Drosophila melanogaster: one gene and its partners. The protein of the gene in region 1 interacts with the protein of each later gene in a pairwise test. Each region holds a gene or a part of one and is shown on either strand. Other genes may lie near its edges.

Evidence for each region.
Region 2: the proteins of Pdhb (region 1) and TP53INP interact in a two-hybrid assay, tested with the Drosophila melanogaster proteins (one large-scale study listed by BioGRID).
Region 3: the proteins of Pdhb (region 1) and RtGEF interact in a two-hybrid assay, tested with the Drosophila melanogaster proteins (one large-scale study listed by BioGRID).

What each region holds. Positions count from the first base shown.
Region 1 is NT_033777.3:29,110,446-29,116,697, reverse strand, and holds Pdhb (pyruvate dehydrogenase E1 beta subunit), read right to left. Parts: upstream 3,628-6,252; 5' UTR 3,558-3,627; exon of another isoform or gene 3,490-3,557; 5' UTR 3,441-3,489; coding exon 3,249-3,440; intron 2,705-3,248; coding exon 2,543-2,704; intron 2,270-2,542; coding exon of another isoform or gene 1,802-2,269; exon of another isoform or gene 1,752-1,801; intron 1,605-1,751; coding exon 1,193-1,604; intron 1,132-1,192; coding exon 1,012-1,131; intron 951-1,011; coding exon 739-950; 3' UTR 501-738; downstream 1-500. Other genes in the region: Atg14 (Autophagy-related 14), read right to left, coding at 1-230; alpha-Man-Ib (alpha-Mannosidase class I b), read left to right, coding at 4,201-4,287, 4,385-4,657, 4,826-5,339, 5,423-5,763, 5,822-6,009, 6,163-6,252. UniProt on the Drosophila melanogaster protein: The pyruvate dehydrogenase complex catalyzes the overall conversion of pyruvate to acetyl-CoA and CO(2). Might play a role in regulating synapse structure formation at neuromuscular junctions. Might play a role in maintenance of mitochondrial morphology.
Region 2 is NT_037436.4:4,405,287-4,410,909, reverse strand, and holds the start of TP53INP (tumor protein p53 inducible nuclear protein), read right to left. Parts: upstream 3,766-5,623; 5' UTR 3,526-3,765; intron 1-3,525. Other genes in the region: CG15019 (uncharacterized protein), read left to right, coding at 4,940-5,125, 5,295-5,549.
Region 3 is NT_033779.5:20,351,928-20,357,731, reverse strand, and holds the start of RtGEF (Rho-type guanine nucleotide exchange factor), read right to left. Parts: upstream 3,766-5,804; 5' UTR 3,665-3,765; intron 2,370-3,664; 5' UTR 2,323-2,369; coding exon 1,985-2,322; intron 1,927-1,984; coding exon 1,726-1,926; intron 1,648-1,725; coding exon 1,227-1,647; intron 1,171-1,226; coding exon 931-1,170; intron 857-930; coding exon 1-856.

The DNA of each region.
Region 1 (6,252 bases):
CTGCAGCTGTGGCACAGTGGGCACCGCATGTGGGCACCCATTCCCGTGGTGGCGTTCCTATCCTTGGCGTTCGCATCCTTCAACAGTTCCTTCGTCGCTGCCGTTGGCCTGCGCTTTGTTGTGTATCCTGCGACATCTGATTCCTCGTCCTCGCCGTTTGTGGAGGCGCTCGAGATGCGAAAGTTGTCGGGGGCCTTGCAGCTTTCGTCGGAGCTGGAGCTGTTTGCCATTACAGCCAAAGCATTGCAATTATTTGTTATGTTATATCTTTTGTTATTGTTAACTTTGCTATTATCGCTATCGATATGAGGACACCTATTGCTAAACGATAGGCTGATATCGAAAAAATAGATGTCGTCAGTGTTGGACAGCGTTCAATAGGAAAACGTTTTCATCGGTGCGCGCACTTTTTAAACTTCAATCATTAACGATAAGAATTATATATTTTTTATCTTCTGATATTATATCATTAACTATACCAAAATATAAGCACTCAAAATGTATTTATGTTTTCGTTTATTTTTCACAAGAGATTTCTATAACCAAATAATTAAACTAGAACGTCCGAAAACTAATCAAAACCCGAAAGCGGTAGTGCTTTATTTTCAGAACATTCAATTTCCAGTTCGGTGCACTATTATGGGGGCAGCTCGGTTAGACCAGAGGCAGCGTTTCGACTTGGACTATAAATTTAGTTAGCTGGGGGTTCCGATCGGGAGGCTGGCTAGTCCTGAGTTCCTACTTGTTGGCCGCAGCGGCCTTGCCCACTTTGCCACCCAAGACCTTAAGAGTCGCCTCCACGAGATCCTGAACGCGGGGCAGGGCGTGGGCCTCCAGCGTCTTGGCATAGGGCATGGGCACATCCACGCCGGCGCAGCGCCATACGGGGGCGTCCAGCTCGAAGAAGGTCTGGTCCTCCATTATGCGGGCGCAGATCTCAGCTCCAACGCCTAAGAGGGTAAAAATTTATAAATATCGCTAGGCTTTCAATTAGCTGAATTTCCCACTCACCGTGTTGGGGCCAGCCGTTCTCCACGGTCACCAGATGGTGGGTCTTTCGTACAGAGGCGAAGATGGTCGCCGTGTCCAGAGGACGAATGGAGCGCAGGTTAATGACCTCAGCCTCAATACCTAAACATATAAGAGAAGGTTAGCTACTTTTCGCGTCATTCAAAGTAAAACAGTGCCGTACCCTTCTTGGCCAGCTCGGCAGCTGCCAGAAGCGATGTCTCCACCGCCTTGGAATGCGCCACCAGGGTAATGTCCTTGCCCGGCCGCATTACCTTGGCCTTGCCGATGGGCACCAAGAAGTCCTTGTCGGCCACGTTATCGGCCACAGGGAATGCCGTGCCATAGACCAGCTCATTCTCCAGGAAGACCACTGGATCGGGATCACGGATTGCGGACTTCAACAGTCCGCGGGCATCCTCGGCATCGTATGGCGAAAGGACCTTCAGGCCGGGGCAGTGGGCGTACCAGGCGGCGAAGCACTGAGAGTGCTGGGCGGCAACACCGGAAGCGGCTCCATTGGGACCACGGAACACAATGGGCACATTGACGGCACCGGCAGACATGTAGAAGGTCTTGGCCGCCGAGTTGATGATCTAAGATTTGAAATTTTAAAGGGATATATTTTAGCAATCCATATTATTATGAATGTGTAATATGACTTAGAAATAATAAAGTGAAAAATGAATGAAAATAATGCTCAGTGTGGATGCCTGTTCCATCAAACTGCAAATTCGCCAATTCAAGTTAATACGCTTTATTTGATGCACTCCTTTCTGTTCCGTCTTGATCTTTACTTAATGCCTAGTTTCTGCTTAATGATAAATGCCGGCAGGCGGCGTCCCTTCCAGAAACGCGGCAGCGGCGTCTCGTTGGCCTGCCGCAGGATCTCCGCCACGTGCTGCTCCGCACTGAATGCCTCCGCCTGCTTGATCTGGGATATCAGCTTTGCTTGGAAGGCCTTCTCTTTGCGCATCTCGCGGCGCTGGCGCACCTTGGCCCACTCGAACTTCATCTTGCGACGCAGCTTCTTTAGCTTGTGCTTCTTCATCTTGCGCCGCCGAATGACGATGAGGCGGGCCGCCTCCATCTTGTCCGACTTGCTCTTGTCCAGCGGCGGCGCAATCACCTCGCCGACTCGATCTCTGTGCAGGATGTCGTTGATCTCATTCAGCCAAGTTGAGCGTGGACTTTCAATTATGAGGCTTATTGGCAGAGGGCGATCACCGACTGGCGGCTTGGCGCAATCGAGTATCTTTGCCTGCACATAATCGGATAATATGGGTGGGGATTAGTGAGGTCCGATCTATGACTTGGGGCAGGAGCTAATCCACCCATATTATCCCATTAAGCGCCGCTGCATATTGCACTTGAATTGGTCTATTTGCTAGCTGTTGGAGTTGTGAGGCATTTGTATTGGATTGTCGTGTTCTTTCTTTTGGTTTACGTTTTGTTGGCAATGAGATAATATGAGTAGTTAGCCTACTGCTGGAGTGCGGGGAGTGGTTCTTAGGACAAGGATGAGGCAACTCACGTGATCGATGGCCTGCATGGAGAAGTTCCAGGTCATGAACTCGCACACGGGACGCAGACCGGCCATGGCAGCGCCAACAGCGATGCCGGCAAAGCCCATCTCTGTGATTGGCGTGTCGATGACGCGCTTGTCGCCGTACTTCTTCCACAGTCCACGGGAAACCTAAAAAGGGCATTAAATGATTAATAGAATGTTAGGATACCAGAAAAATATGTAGGGCTTATTCAGGATGGGAACCTTTTATCTGTTTGTAAAACTTTCCAAGCTGATAACTCATTAACTAAGATTTCTTCAGGAAATACCATTATTCTAACAGGTAATTGTATTGTACTTTGCGTGTCCTATCTAGTTGTTACACCAGTAGCCACAATCATAGTTTAAATGAATCTAATAGGATAGAATTGCTAACGCCGGTTATCAATCCACCTCAAATGGGTAAACAAATCGTTGTTTTATGGGCCAATCTATATAATCAGCAGACAGTCGGTCACACATATTCTGCGTGACCTTGCCCACTCCGATCACGCATTCGGATTCGCGTCGACCTGTTCGGAATCACTATCAGTAGTTACATATAGCACGCATATATCACCCCGCTGACCACCAACTTCCCCCATCCCGGCCACCTGCATCAGCTGTCGTCGTCGCAACCGCCTGCTTGCTGTTTACGTAATCGCGCAGGGGCAGGAAAAGTCGCAGATCTCACCTTGTAAGCACCGTCGTACTGGGCCACCTCCTCGCCCAGGATGAAGACGCGGTCGTCGCGGGCCAGCTCATCGTCCAATGCGCTGTTGAGGGCATCTCGCACGGTCATCTGCTTGGCCGCCAGGGCCTTCTGGCTGGTGGAGAACGCTCGCTGGGCGGAGCTGGCCGCCTGGATGAGTCGGGTTCGGAGCATCGTCGGTTTGCGGTTCGCTTTCCTATGGGTCTATCGCTATCGTTGCCGGCTGTAGGTGTTATTTTTTGGGTTTTAAGTGCTATTATCTAACTAAAAATGGGCTATGGGTTTACGCACCGACTTCCGTCGAAATTTTGATGTGAAAATGGGATGTGACCAGATGTGACCACTTTAATGCCGTATTGTGGGCACACTTGGAGCTTACCAGGGCTGCCAAATAAATCACTGTTAAGTGGGACTAGTGTTGGCCACTCTAGATTTGGCTAAATTCATACTGTGTTAGCTGGATTTTCGAAAAAATTAGCCACTTCGTATTAATATATATTCTTTAGAAAAATTCTTTTATAAAGTAGTGATAATATCTAAAATATAATTTAATTTGCTTTTTTTTTATTTAAGAGGTATTTCAAAAGTAAATGATTGCTAGCCCCATCTTTAGTTTTGGCCGGACTGTTGAAGAACAAGTTGGCAGCATTGCAGCTCAAAAATGCAGCTCTCGTGAAATAATTTTAGAATTTCTTATTTGTAATTTTGCATAGTGTGGGCCAGAACTAGCATATATAAATTAATGCACTGGCACGTATAGAGATGATTAAGGCATAAAAGAGGTAGTAGTTGGACCAACCTTGGTTAGTTAGCTCCGATTCCTCCGCGGCCAGCGGCGCACAGCAATCGATTTTTATTCGAGGCGAATGCTGTGGAATTTCCCATCCAACTTTCCCACACTCTGAATTCCGGCGGCGGCATTTAGTGAAACACTATGAAGGACGGCGGTCACATAACGCTCACACTCCCGCCGGGATCAGCGGCGACGACGGACGAGCGGGGCAGGAAGAGCCTGCGTCGGGTAGGTAGCAACCTGGCAGAAGTCCAGTTGCTGGGGTCCTGGGACATCCTCAAGAAACCCAGAACTTATAAGTACGATCTTTTGTCTCACGGTTCAGGCTTGGAATCAGCTACCGCGTTGTCAGCGCAATCTCATTATTCTGGGCATCACCGGATTCTGCGTGACAGTGTTGCTCTGCCTAAGTGGCGATCAGCTGCTGGCTGCCAGCTTAAAGGATGTGGACACCAAGGCCGAGGTGGCAGCATATCAAATGCCCCTGCCCAATCCGCACCATCATCCGGGGGTGGATAAGGATGTGCCCAAAGACACTGCTGCGGTACCTGTTCCGGCCGATAAGAGAGCACCCCGGGTGGAGGCGGTTAGTGATAAGGTAAGTAGGCCCCCCACTTAATTGATAAGTGCCTAAGTGGCTGGAGTTGTTTGCCTATTAAGATAGCATGCGTATCAATACGATTGACTATTGGTGTTTGATTTATTGCCCACGCAGCACACTTCCAGTAAAATCTATTAATGATATCTCAATATCAATCAATTTCAGTTTAATGAGCTAGTTGCCTATGGAGAAGCGAACTCAGCGGAGAACGTGGCCCGTCTGCCGGAGACGGTGGCTGCTGAAGGACTTCCCCAGGCCTCGGCCATGGCCGTGGCCTTGCCTCCCCCCGATAGTAACAAGGAGCAGGACATCGGTGGAATCGACATCCTAAACAATGTAGAGGAGCCCGTCGCCCAGGATCCAGCAGAGCCGCTTAGCGAGGGCGAGCAGCTTGAGCAAGCCATCAAGAACCCACTCACTCTGGGCGGCGTTAGCTTCAAAGAGCATCTCAAAAAGATCAAGCCCATTCTGGCCAAGGGCCAGCACTTCCATGGCGCCACCAACGAAAGACAGTCGGCTGTTGTAGCCGCCTTCAAGCACTCCTGGGCTGGCTACAAGAAGTATGCCTGGGGCCACGACAACCTGAAGCCCATCTCCCAGTACTCCCACGAGTGGTTCGGTCTGGGACTAACCATTGTTGACTCATTGGATACCATGTACATAATGGGACTGGATGATGGTAAGTTGCCTATATCCTAATGTGCACAAAATCATTAGTTTATGGAAATACTTTCCTTATTTTTCTCAATAACATCTACACAGAATTCAAGGAAGGACGCGACTGGGTAGAGCAATCACTGCGCTTTGATACCAAGCGCGATGTAAACCTATTCGAGGTCACCATACGTGTCCTAGGCGGACTGCTGTCTGCATATCACCTGAGCGGCGATACAATGTTTCTGGCCAAGGCTGCGGAACTTGGCAACCGTTTACTTCCCGCCTTTCAATCGCCGTCAAATATCCCCTATTCTGATGTGAATCTCGGAGATCTTTCGGCGCACTCGCCGAAGTGGTCTCCTGATAGCTCCACCAGTGAGGTCACCACCATTCAGCTAGAGTTTCGTGATTTGAGTCGCTCTACAAACATCTCCATTTATGAACAGGTAAACGAAACAGATCAGATAAGGGCAATAACGAACTATAAAATAAATGACTTATCAGGTTGCTCACAAAGTAAACGAGAAGGTGCATGATCTGGAGAAGAACCATGGTTTGGTGCCCATATTCATTAACGCCAACACAGGAACATTCCGAAACTACGCCACTATCTCGCTTGGTGCTCGTGGGGACTCCTACTATGAGTACTTGCTCAAACAGTGGATTCAGACCGGCCGCAAGGATAATGATAAGTACGTATCTGAGTGTGACATTGAAGTTAAGAATTTCTATTAAGAACAAAGAATTCTTGATCAAGACGTAGAAATTTCAGCTTGTTGATTTATCACAGCTGTGCTGTGGCAATTGTTTATTATTTACTTTATTTAACCTCTTTTTTATTTTAGCCTTATTTTGGACTACATGCAAGCAGTCGATGGTGTTCTAACACAACTGATGCGGCGCACGCCACGCGAGCACTGGGTTTACATTGGCGA
Region 2 (5,623 bases), on another chromosome or scaffold:
GCAGCTGTGCGCATTCCGTGCGACTCTTCTTAGGCAAATCCACTGGACACGGCGCATATTTTTTATCACTTTGTTTATCAATAGCAGTCCGCAGGTCCAGCTGTCGTATTTGGAATTCTGGGTCAGCGCCGTTTCTGACCACCGAATATATATATATTCACTAAACAATCAATCAATCTAATATTCCGCAAGTCAATCAATATTGGCGGATTACATCAGGCGCTCAACTGGTGACTCGGAAATGAGTCTAGTCAATATGATTACTGTAAGTATAGTATGGCTTAAAGTCGCAGTCTAGCACGTGCGCAATTATAAAAATAAAGTGCTACACGGGCATAAATTTGTTATGCAAATTGTATTTATAAAACGGTTTAGAAAAATATCTCTAGTGGTTACAAAATCATTTATATGAGTGCGTAAAAGTTTGCAGCAAAAATCAATGCGAACTACTTTGATGCTGAAAATATATTGTAGCATACTTTCAAACATCTTTCTAATTAGTATTTTTCCGCTTGCCAAGTACGATCTCTTTTTAAAGAAACTTTATGCAGATTGGTGACCTTATTTCCTGCCCTTTGACAGTTTCCTTTCCTTCATAATCAAATGAATTTTTAACGCCATTTCCATAGCGTCAGGCGTAAATATAGCACTCAAATTGCCACAGTTGTGTTTGAACGACGCCAATTAAAAGGCAGATTTATGGGCAAATATAAATCGACCGCCCCCCGCCCCTTGCAGACACCACCCACTGGGCTTGAAATAGTTTTCCCACCGCAGTTTGTTACTGTAACTGGTACGGTTACTGGCTTTTCCCCTACATTCACTGCAGGACTTTTCCCTAGTTCTCTCTCTCTCTCTCTTTGCTCTCAGTCCTATTTTGTTTACAAACAAATTTGTTTGACCTGCGCAGTCGGAGGGCATTTTCCCCGATGACGATTACCTAGCAACCTTCACGATGGGACCCATTGAATGTTTTGGTTCTCTCTCTCTGGTATATATATATATATAGAGGGAATACCCACCATCCTAAATATATATGTATATACAAAGTAACGACTTCCGCATTTGGGAAAATGTAGGCCCAGAGAAACTTTTTTGCAGCCTCCCGTTCCGCAGCCGTTTTGGGGGTCACCTTTGCTATTTTTGGGCTTGCACAGGGTGCCTCCTAGTTGTTGGGTGTAGGGTCCGCACCACATGCTTACCTCCCTTTGGAAGCGGTTTAGCTGCAAATCGATGAAAGGCCCATAGCTGCAAATCAGCGCCAGTGGAAAATGAACACGTCAGCAACCCCAAAGTGGAAAACGGGGAAGGGATTTGGGTGAAACTGCGCAGTGTGCAGTGTTACTGGGCCTACCACCTGGAACCACCCCGTTTACCACCCCGAATCTTCTACCCTACAGTACCCACATGCAGCTGCGTTTATTTTCAAGAATTATGACATAATTTTTGACATTTAGATGCGCAGTCAAAAGAGTCAGGGGGGAGAAAAAAAACTTACATAACTCGAAAATACTAAACAACTTGAACTTGACTCTGTGTCTTTGTTTCGCATCGGTTTTTTTTTGTTTGTGTCCTGAGTAAACTGGTTTTGCCCGCACCTACAGCAGTTTCACTTTCTTCATGGCCATAAATCAGGACCTGCGAGGAACCCGAAAAACAGTAACCCAAAACCGAGACAAGAACATCAAGTGTTGGTTATTTGGCCTTTTGTTTGGATATCTTTCGGATGCACATGCCTAAGTACAGGTACGGCAAGTCGGCTGACTAAATTTCTAATTATAGTCGGGCATTATCGGCTCTGCGGGGAGGGCAGTCCCATCCCATTTTGGGATTAGCCACCAGCCAGTTGCCTTCCCCTGCTACCTGTTAGTTGGTTTTTGGATCTGCACCCGATGGGCTGAGTTGCGGATACCCCTGGGACTGTCCAAAATTGCCACGTCAGTATCTATGCTCTAATTAAACCAGATAATGCCGTCTAACGATAACCTAATTGCCTTCATTCCCTACTCAGTTCAGTGCTCAGAGGAATTGACACTGCTGCAGATAAATAAATAATCACCGAATTGGGTCGCTAAGTAGCTAAGTATGGTTTACTTAAAATGAATAACTTTCAAAAAAACAAATGATCGACTTATGAATTATAGAACTCAAATACTTCTGTTATCTAACACATTTTCTCCCTGTGCATCGGTTGGACTTTCTGTGACTACGGTTACCCTTTTGGCCAATTAAGGCGACCAGATTTGTTGGCCACGATCGAAGCGGGGCAGCCAACTGACTTTATCTGCCAGATACACATTTGGCTGAGTTCGCGTTGCTGCAGCATCATCAGCTGTTCGCTGTTTATGTTGTTGTCTGTGGCTTTTGTTTTTCAATTTTTCTTTCATTGCCACAGACAAACAACTGGCCAGACTTGATTTATCATCCGCGACGGTTCTTCCCATTCGTTTTTGGACCCCTACTCCCCACCCCTCCGTTTCGATCCAGCACCTTCCGTTCTTTAGAGGTTTTTTTTTTAGCTCTTCAGCTCGAAAAATGGACAATGGACAATGGCAACTGCAAGACCTGTTCTGCACATTTGGCGCATGATTCACTTGGGTTTTTGGGCCTGCTTTTGTGGCTGTGGAGCGGCAAGGTTTCTCCTCGAAATGCTCCCTATTTTCGTTTGCCTCTCGGATCTCAACATCTGAGCAAATGTTGGCAGGCATCCAGGAGATTTTTTTTGGCCATAATATTATAGTTGAGGAAATAATTGCAAGGCTAATTAAGATGTTAATCAGCGAAACATTCATTGCACTTGCCATCACCAGTTGACACTCCATGAACACACAATGATTGCACAAAAAAAAATATATAACTCGATCGTGGGGCAAAGTGCAGCAGCTAATATGTAAGTCTGAACACAGAGAGAAATTTTTCTAAAAAGAGTATGAGAAATTCTGAACGCTTTATGTTAGCATTTAATTCTATACACTCATTATTCCAATAAGCTCTACATTAGATGGTTTTAGGCAAATTTTTAGCAGTGCACTCAGCTGGGAAATGCCAGAGATCTGAGATGTGGCACGGATCTGATAACGATCGCTAAAAATGCTGAAAACGTGATGCAAGTCAAATTTATGGCTATTAGATGCCCAGAATGGAAATCCCCTTAACAAGAAACTCGGCCGATTTGCAGCCAAATACAATTTGGGGGAAAATCGGTGTTTGTGTGTGTGTAAGTGCATGTGGAGATGGAAAACTGTTGGCCTGGCCGAAAGCCAAGGAAAACTCACACAGCCGCAAAAGTGTGAACTCTTTGGATGCGAAGGTGCAATCAGAATTTTTTCCTGCTTTTTCGTATGTATCGCTGGGCTGCACTTTGGGATGTGTGTACATGTAAATCGGCTTGCAGCAGAACTTTTGAGAAACATATCTGAGCATGTGTTGGTGCGTGTGTGAGTGTAATGTCCTTTCCTTGGAGAAGGACTTCCGCTTCAGTATTTTTCTGCTTTTTTTCTTTGGGGGGGTTAAAACTGCACTTACTTGCTGCGCGGAGTTTATTGATCGATCGGTGTCGGAATCTACCCGTATTCTCTGCAATAATTTGCACCAGCAAGGCTTTTTACACAGTTTTCGAAATGTTTTTTAATTGGCGTGCTTATTGTTTTTTGTGCTGATTACTTCCGTTTTTGCTTAACTGACGGGGGTGAGAGTGCGGAGAAGAGCAGCGCTACAGGAACTCCGTGACGTATGCTAGCAACAACGACTGACGAGCGAATGATGGCAGAAGGTCTACAAACTGGCCAACCAAGCTGGTTGCCCCCCTATCTGTGTGCCTCTGCTGTTCGCTGGTGTTGGTGCGCTACCCATGTATTGGTGGCTCTACAGCTGAGCCCGACACACTTACCCTGTTTCTGCCTCTTTCTGCTGCTGCGCATGTGCAAGAGAGGCTCTTCGGATGCTCTATCCAAATCGAAAGTAACTCAGCTATGTCACTGAAGTAAACACATTGTATTGTACATTAACAATACCTTATACTTTGGCTAAATAGCTAGGACATTTTTACAGTCTATCTCTTTGTGAAAACCTTTTTATCAAGGTCTTTAAAAAGTAAGTGCATTTAAGCCGAATTCTTTTAAACTGTTAAACAAACTATTATATGCATTGTCTTAGCTATTAGAGAAAACTATTGCATTTTGTACAATCATATATTTTTTATAAAATTCTATTTAGTGTATTAAAAATCTAGTCGGTGTAGAGCATTTCACAACGACTATATTTCCTATTTTAGTTACTTTTCGTATTTGGCAAGCCTCTCATTTTCTCTTCAGCAGCTGATTTTGTTTGTATACAAAAATCATATTGCAATATATATATACTGAAAAGGAGAGAGAACAAAAGGTAAATAAATACAGAGTGGAAAAGGGGAAGAAAGAGATGAATGGAAACGAAAATGGAAGTGGAAAAAAGCCACAAAAGCTTAATTTGTGGTTTTTAAAAAAGTTATAACTTATATGCATTAAAGGCAAAGTCATAAAAACTAGAATTTAATATGTTTTAATATATTTTGTGGTTTTTAAAAATTTATGTACCTGATAATTGATACAACAGCGCTACAGCATATTAGGGAAAATAAGGACATAAGGTGTAATTAAATAATATGACACATATTTCTATACAGATAAGTGTCTTTTACATAGAAAGTATATAAAACTATTTAAAAAACGAGAGTAAAAAAAAAACAATTTTTAATCTTGGCGGCTAAATAACTAAAAATAAGCCCTGGTCGATTAATTTATTTGCGCTATCGATAAGAGCCCGCTGAAAAAAATCGAAGAAAAATCGGGCAGTTTTCCAGCTCTAGCAAAAACACACGTGTTTACGTTTTTAGCAAATTGAACGCAATTTCTTTACTTCTTTGACTTTTTCTGGTATTACTTAATATCCGACTACCGAAATGGGCAGAAACAATCGCTCGAGAAAGCGTCGTGATGAAATGAATAAGATAAAGAAGGCGCGGTACGAAGCCAAGGAGTTAATTCGACTGAAGAAAACTCTGGGACTCCTAGATGCCGATGGAAATGAGATCATGAAGGATATAAGCGATGTGGTCGAAATTAAGACCGCCAAGGAGCTCAAAAGGGTTAGTTATGTGATATACCCACCTACAAATATACCAATTTACCTAATGTATTATATGTATTGTATGCATGTAATATGCGAAAAACCGGCTTAGTTTATCGCGATACTACCTTCATTCTTGTTACGTATTTTATATCCTTATTAAAGAAGAAATTGTATTCCTAAAACAGGAGGCCAAATCCAAGGAGGAGCAGGAATTGATCTACGAGCACCAGGAGAGTCTGGAGAAGGGCGAGAAAGTCAAGGTGACCAACGAGAACACGGGCGTGGAGCACATTTTCAACAGCAAGACCCTCAAAGATCAGTACGGCAATTATCCTGCGTGGTTCAAGAAGAAGAAGACCGCCAAGCGTCTAAGAAAGAAGCAGCACTCGCAGAAGAAGAACTTCAAACAGGCCTGGACCACGGTTAATGTTCCCCTATAAATCCGGGGCTGGGTTACCCATCTGGTATCTTATCGTAGTTTATAAGTCCTCGCTTAGTTTAGGAGATTTTGTAG
Region 3 (5,804 bases), on another chromosome or scaffold:
CAGGCATACTGGCCAGATTCTCGCAGGCGGTGAATGCACCGCCCAATCTAGCTGCAAAAATGGAACTCGCATCGGAACTTTGTTGTTGCAGGGAGAACGATGGCTTGACCTTAAGAATTGGCTCTTCCTCAACACAGTTTGTGATGCTGCCACCCACACCTAGCTCCAAAGTTGCCGTGGATGTGTGCACACTGGAATTTCGAGTCGTGGACTTCCGAGCCAAAGCTCTTAGTGCTCTGGATCCTATAACAAGAGACTCCTTTTTTAACTCGTTGAGCGCTAGAACTTCGTCCGTGTCCGCGGAATCCAATTTAATGAGGTTGATAGAGGAACAGTGCCTCCTGGCACCCGTGCCATGGTCCACGAATGTGCCTGTGGAGTTGCACATGGAATCGTTCCGCTTGTTTTGGTAAAACTGCACATATTCAAACGGATCCGAGTCGCAGGAATGCAAAAAATCATCTTCAAAGTCATCGTCATAGCTCTCCGAGTCCGTTGGTAGTTCAATTGCATCCTGTCGTTCCAACTCGGACTGCCCCGAATCCTGATTGGTATTGAGATCTTTTAACTTTGCAGATGCCTTGTGACAACGCCTTTTGCGCAACGCAATCCTTTTGAGATCGATGCTCTGGCGAGCCTGCGGATACAGAAGCATCTTTACGATAGCACTCCTCAGTCCGCCGCCTTTAACAAGCCTGGCAAAGTGAGCACTAAGATTGGCGTACGGAGCTGTTGCTGGGTAATTGCTTGGGGGAAGAGTCACACGGAGAGGTCGCACATGGCACGGGGGGCTGGAGTAATAGGCACACAGCGAGAATCGCGTGCAGTAGCCCCGTGAATCCAAATGTTGACTCAGCTGCTCACGGTTTAAAGTGTCGCCAAAACGAAACGATAATAAAGGTGAATATATAGGAGAAATATACTACTTACATGAGCGGCATTTAGGTGTCCTAGCGAAGAGTTGCTCAAGTTACTCAATTGCCGTTTGATGCCCATCGGCAAGCTGGGATTATTGGCATTGAGCAGCTCCACCCACTTGTTGGCCTCATTCGGACCCTGACAAACTGCTACAATGCGATCGATCAAGGGACTGCTTATCTCAAAGGCGTTCTTCAGGGCATCCGTGTCCTCCAGGCGATTCACTATGATCCCAGTTAAGGGTAGCTTGCCCTGCGTGTGAAAACAGATTACAAACAAATTCGCCATGTTGTGCTTGTGTTTCCCACCTCATAGATGAATGCACTCATCCGCTGACTAACGCTAAGGAATAGCAATGTTTGAGGGAAGAGCACAAAGTATCGGTCGCGATGATCAGCTCCAACTGCAACGCTGCCCATGTGGATGATGTCCCCGAGGGTGCTCAGCTCTTGGCCCTGCCATCCACGCACTGGCCCCGTGAGCACTTGCAGCTCCAGCTCCTTTTGGCGACGGGTGGCCGAGCAGGTGGCAGCTATGTCTTTGTACACGGCAACACTCCGCTGGGTGTCGCCGCGATCCGGATGACTGCTCTCCATATGCCGCTCCAGCTCCTGCAGCATGGCCGAGTATTTGTCCAGTCGCCGGAAGGGCTTTGATAGACCCGTCGTGAGCACAAGTAATCCAGGAGTGGCTGCGCCCTGTCGTTCCATATACTTTTCCAGCTCGTCCCTTTTGGAATAGAAAAAAATTTATATTTATTAACAATTGAACACCACAATATATGTATATAAAGCGAGGAGCACATACTTGTACTTATCCAGTATGACAATGGCCTTTGGATGGGCAGCGCAGTACGCCTGGTGCACCTTCTTCATCAAGGGGGCGCTGGTGAGAAATAGTTTTCCCACTCGATCGTTGCACTCCTCGATCTGGATAAGCAAATCCTCGTGCGTACGCACAATCTCTACAAAGTTACACATCAGCTGGGCGTACTCATCCTGACTGAGTCTGTAGAAGAAGCCCTTTTAGATTATATTCAAATTATGTCAGAGAATAGAGAACTTACATTTGCGTCTGTTGCATGGGCTCCAAGAAATTCTCGAGCAGACCCTGCAGCTCGGCCACATGGGCGCGCTCCGAGTCAAGCAGATCCTTGAGCACCACAGACCGATACTCCTGGATCTCCTCCGGCGGCCTTATGGTCTCCGTTAGAGGCAGCTGCACCTTGCACTCATTCACATAGTTGCTGGGAAACCAGCCAGTCTTATCGTTCAGCGTTCCCTCCCACCAGCCACCATCCTCGCGCTGGGTAACCGTGATGACATCGCCCTTCTGGAAGCACAGCTCGTCGTTATTGCTGCCCATGAAGGAGTACTCCGCCTGCACCACCAGTGGCTGATCCATTATCGGATTGTTCAGGGCTGATCCGAGTGCGCACTAGATTGATTCAACTGAAACGAGGCGATGGGTATTGAACTTGAAACATCAGCCAGGCAATTTGCTCAATGAAAAAGCATATGTGAGCATATCGCTCGTTATATACAGCACCTACGCATTATTGCAGCGATGAGCTACATCATCGTCGATCGCTCGGCATTCCTCAGCCTCTTGGAATTAGCCGAGCAATAATTATGGCCCCAAAGAAGAAAACATTTTGAAAACATCTGTCGAGAAACGCGTGCGCAAGTTTCTTGACACTTTTCCGGCGACTCCCCTCCGGCTTTTCTTTCCTAGTTTACTGCAAGTGTCTGGAAAACTCGTGCGCTACACGATGGCCAAGGTCACACAAGCTGCGAGGATCCATTAAAAAATTGGGTAAAAATCACTCGCGCGTATTGTGAAAGAAAAACTTTTCGGGCCATAAAAACAATTTGAATAGCCGGACAGGACAGGCCAACATATAAATCATAAACAACGGCCACGTCGCGTCTAAAAATATTTACGACCTTTTTTATTTGGTTTGTTCGAACAACTCTTTAAGAGATCAACATTTCATTCAATCGTTAAACACTTTCGTTGACGGAAATGGGATTGGCACATTGGATTCTAAAGGCAAGTGCACTCTATACATCAGATATCTATAGAAAGAAGTAAAATCGCAATATTTTCGAATGCCTCGAAAATTATATTACGACATTGTTACTCACAAAAACCCCCAATATTCCAAAGCTTAATTGAAATGGTCTCTTGTATGAGTGGCACTAGGGGGCTAGTTAGTGGATGTCATTATTTTTAAAGTCGTTTATAAAAGTCTTTAGCCTAGTCTATTCGTTGGTACTATTTAAAATTGGCAGCGCGACGTGTGCTTTTATTAATATAGGAATTCCTATGTTTATGCAAAAATTCAATTCTGGACTGAAAATGTTAAAAAGTGATATATTTTCTAAAAATAGATGCATCACATTTGTTTGCTATTGCCGCAATGAGTAAACGCAAAAATATGAACAACTTGGTTTATTTTGCCCAAATAGTTTTCTAGAATACTAAAAATAAAAAACAGACGAAAGTGTACATATTGGCGGATCGCAAGTTCTATATGCCAAACTGGAACGTGTAGTTTTTCACGAATTATTACCGCTCTCATGAGATTGTCAAGATTTATAGGCTGATGAGAATATTTCCCTAAGGCAAGGTCACGTTTTGGTTGCACAAACGCATGAAAATTTCTTAAAATGTCACTTTTTCGCCATCTAGGCACTCGAATACATATACCCGCTACTCTTTTGTATAGATGGGTGATATATACTTTTTCGACAATAAATTGTGGTACGACAATTTGACGTTTTTCGCCGTTTTTCTGCTCTCAGACGATGCACCGCACGCGTTCATTGCTTCAGCGAAACTGCCGAGAAAAGCGGAAAATACCGAAAAGCTGGCGACATATGGCAGACGAATTTTCCACGGCAACCGAAAGTGCCACTCTCGCAGTCATTTTCTGAGAGTCTCGTCGGATCGCAGGAGATTCGAATATATTTTCACATGTACGCGAGCGTTTTCGACCGGACACATCGCATATTTTCATGAAAAATCAACAGAGATGTGACAAAAAATATGAATCCGGGGACAACCTTTTCATCTGCGTTTCCAAAATGAGGATCTTAATTGTATTTCATTGAGAAATAAGCGACACTCGCTGTGCTTTTGTATTGTCTATTCAAAAAAACCACATAAAAATATTTGTGCCAAAATATATGTGGGTTGCCTATTGGATGTGAGATCTTCCATGTTTGTGGATTCAGTCATCAATCGAAAACTTCTTCATATTCAAGCATTTTAGAATTATTTCAGAAAAATTCACCTGTTCCGCTCAGTTTCCTGTTGATCATACAATATATGCCCGTGAATCATAGGAAACGTTTATGGAATGTGTAGACTTGTATAATCTAAAATTTAGAATCGTGCGACACACATTGTGGTTTTAATGGGATTATGGCCTCAGGAAATGTTAAATTCGTCATATTTTTAGAATTTAAGATAGAATATAAATCAAATTTAACCCAAAGACTTTCATTCTGAGACAAACAAGGAGGCTGGAACTGTAAACTCTACTGAATAAAGATGTTGAAGCTTATAGACCGACGGAGAATTTTTGAGCTAGAGTGACCAAGAACTAAATATTTTTTCCACAGAATATTCGTATTCAAATCTGCCGAGATCAGAATGTCGGCAAAAAATATGCTTTATAAGTGCAGCGCCAAACCCAAGCCGAATGTATGTCACTTTCCTTCGCTTCGTTTAACCCTGAAATCACTTTAAGTCCATGGCCGGGCACAATCAAATTTCCGTAGGTGGTGGTGCTCCAAACGATGCATCGGAGGTCAGATGAGCAGATGCATAAATGCAGATACCGAGCGGCACACACGCAGATATGTGGGCACATACAAAGATGCATACATACCCCATTGAAGCTCTCGGAACCAAATTTTAATTAATTCATTAAACTTGCACATGGCGCCGCGCGGATCGGCTATGCGGCCCCATATCCAGATACAGATACAGATACAAGTTTCAGATACAGATACACCGGGCCCACGCTCTCTGAGTATAAGAGACAACTCTTTCGGTTATTAACGATCCGTCGCCGAAGGCGAAATTCAAATGAATATCCCTGCCGCTTCCGGAAATGCGCAATTTGGCGAGTAAAACGTCGCATCCATCGGAGGGGAGCACCCCAAATCAAATCACCGAATGTTTATTTTCGTGGGACACTGGGGAACGTAAACAACAAAGACGAGAGATGTAAAAGAAAGGCGAGTGGATTGTTTTGCTTGGCAAAGTCAGCGGCAAAGACAAACAAAGTCAGCCAAAGACAAACCAAATTTATGCAGTTCTGCCTGGTCGGGACCGGATCCGAATCGCTATCCCTACTAGCTCAGCCGAACTGCACTCAATAAGGCCTCTTCAATGTGTCAATACCGAGATTTACAGGCTGCACAGCCGCCACTTGAGATGCATTTCCTCAGATATATGGACGTAATATAGTTTGATTGCGTCGCTCGCCGTATTTATAGATACTTCGTGGCGGAGGAAGTCATCGGTGGCTGTGGGCACACCGAAGAGGTGAGCGAGTGGGAGTTCCAATAGCTTGTGGGGATCCGCTGTTCTCGACACCAACACACCAAGAACGAGGTCAGCAGCGGAAATATGAAGAAACGCGGTTTCCCAGCAGACACGAGTGAAAATCAGGCGCATGATTTGACGGCCAATGTTTGTTTTGGGAAATCACAGGCCCACATACAGATATTGCCAACATGCTTTCATTAAAGCGTAAGAATAACAACCATAGGGCGCAAAGAGCCAAGTGGTTCGACGAGATCTTACCCTAGACTTTTTCACATTCCCCACATAAATATATACAAACAAATATAACTTTTTAAACCATGAAA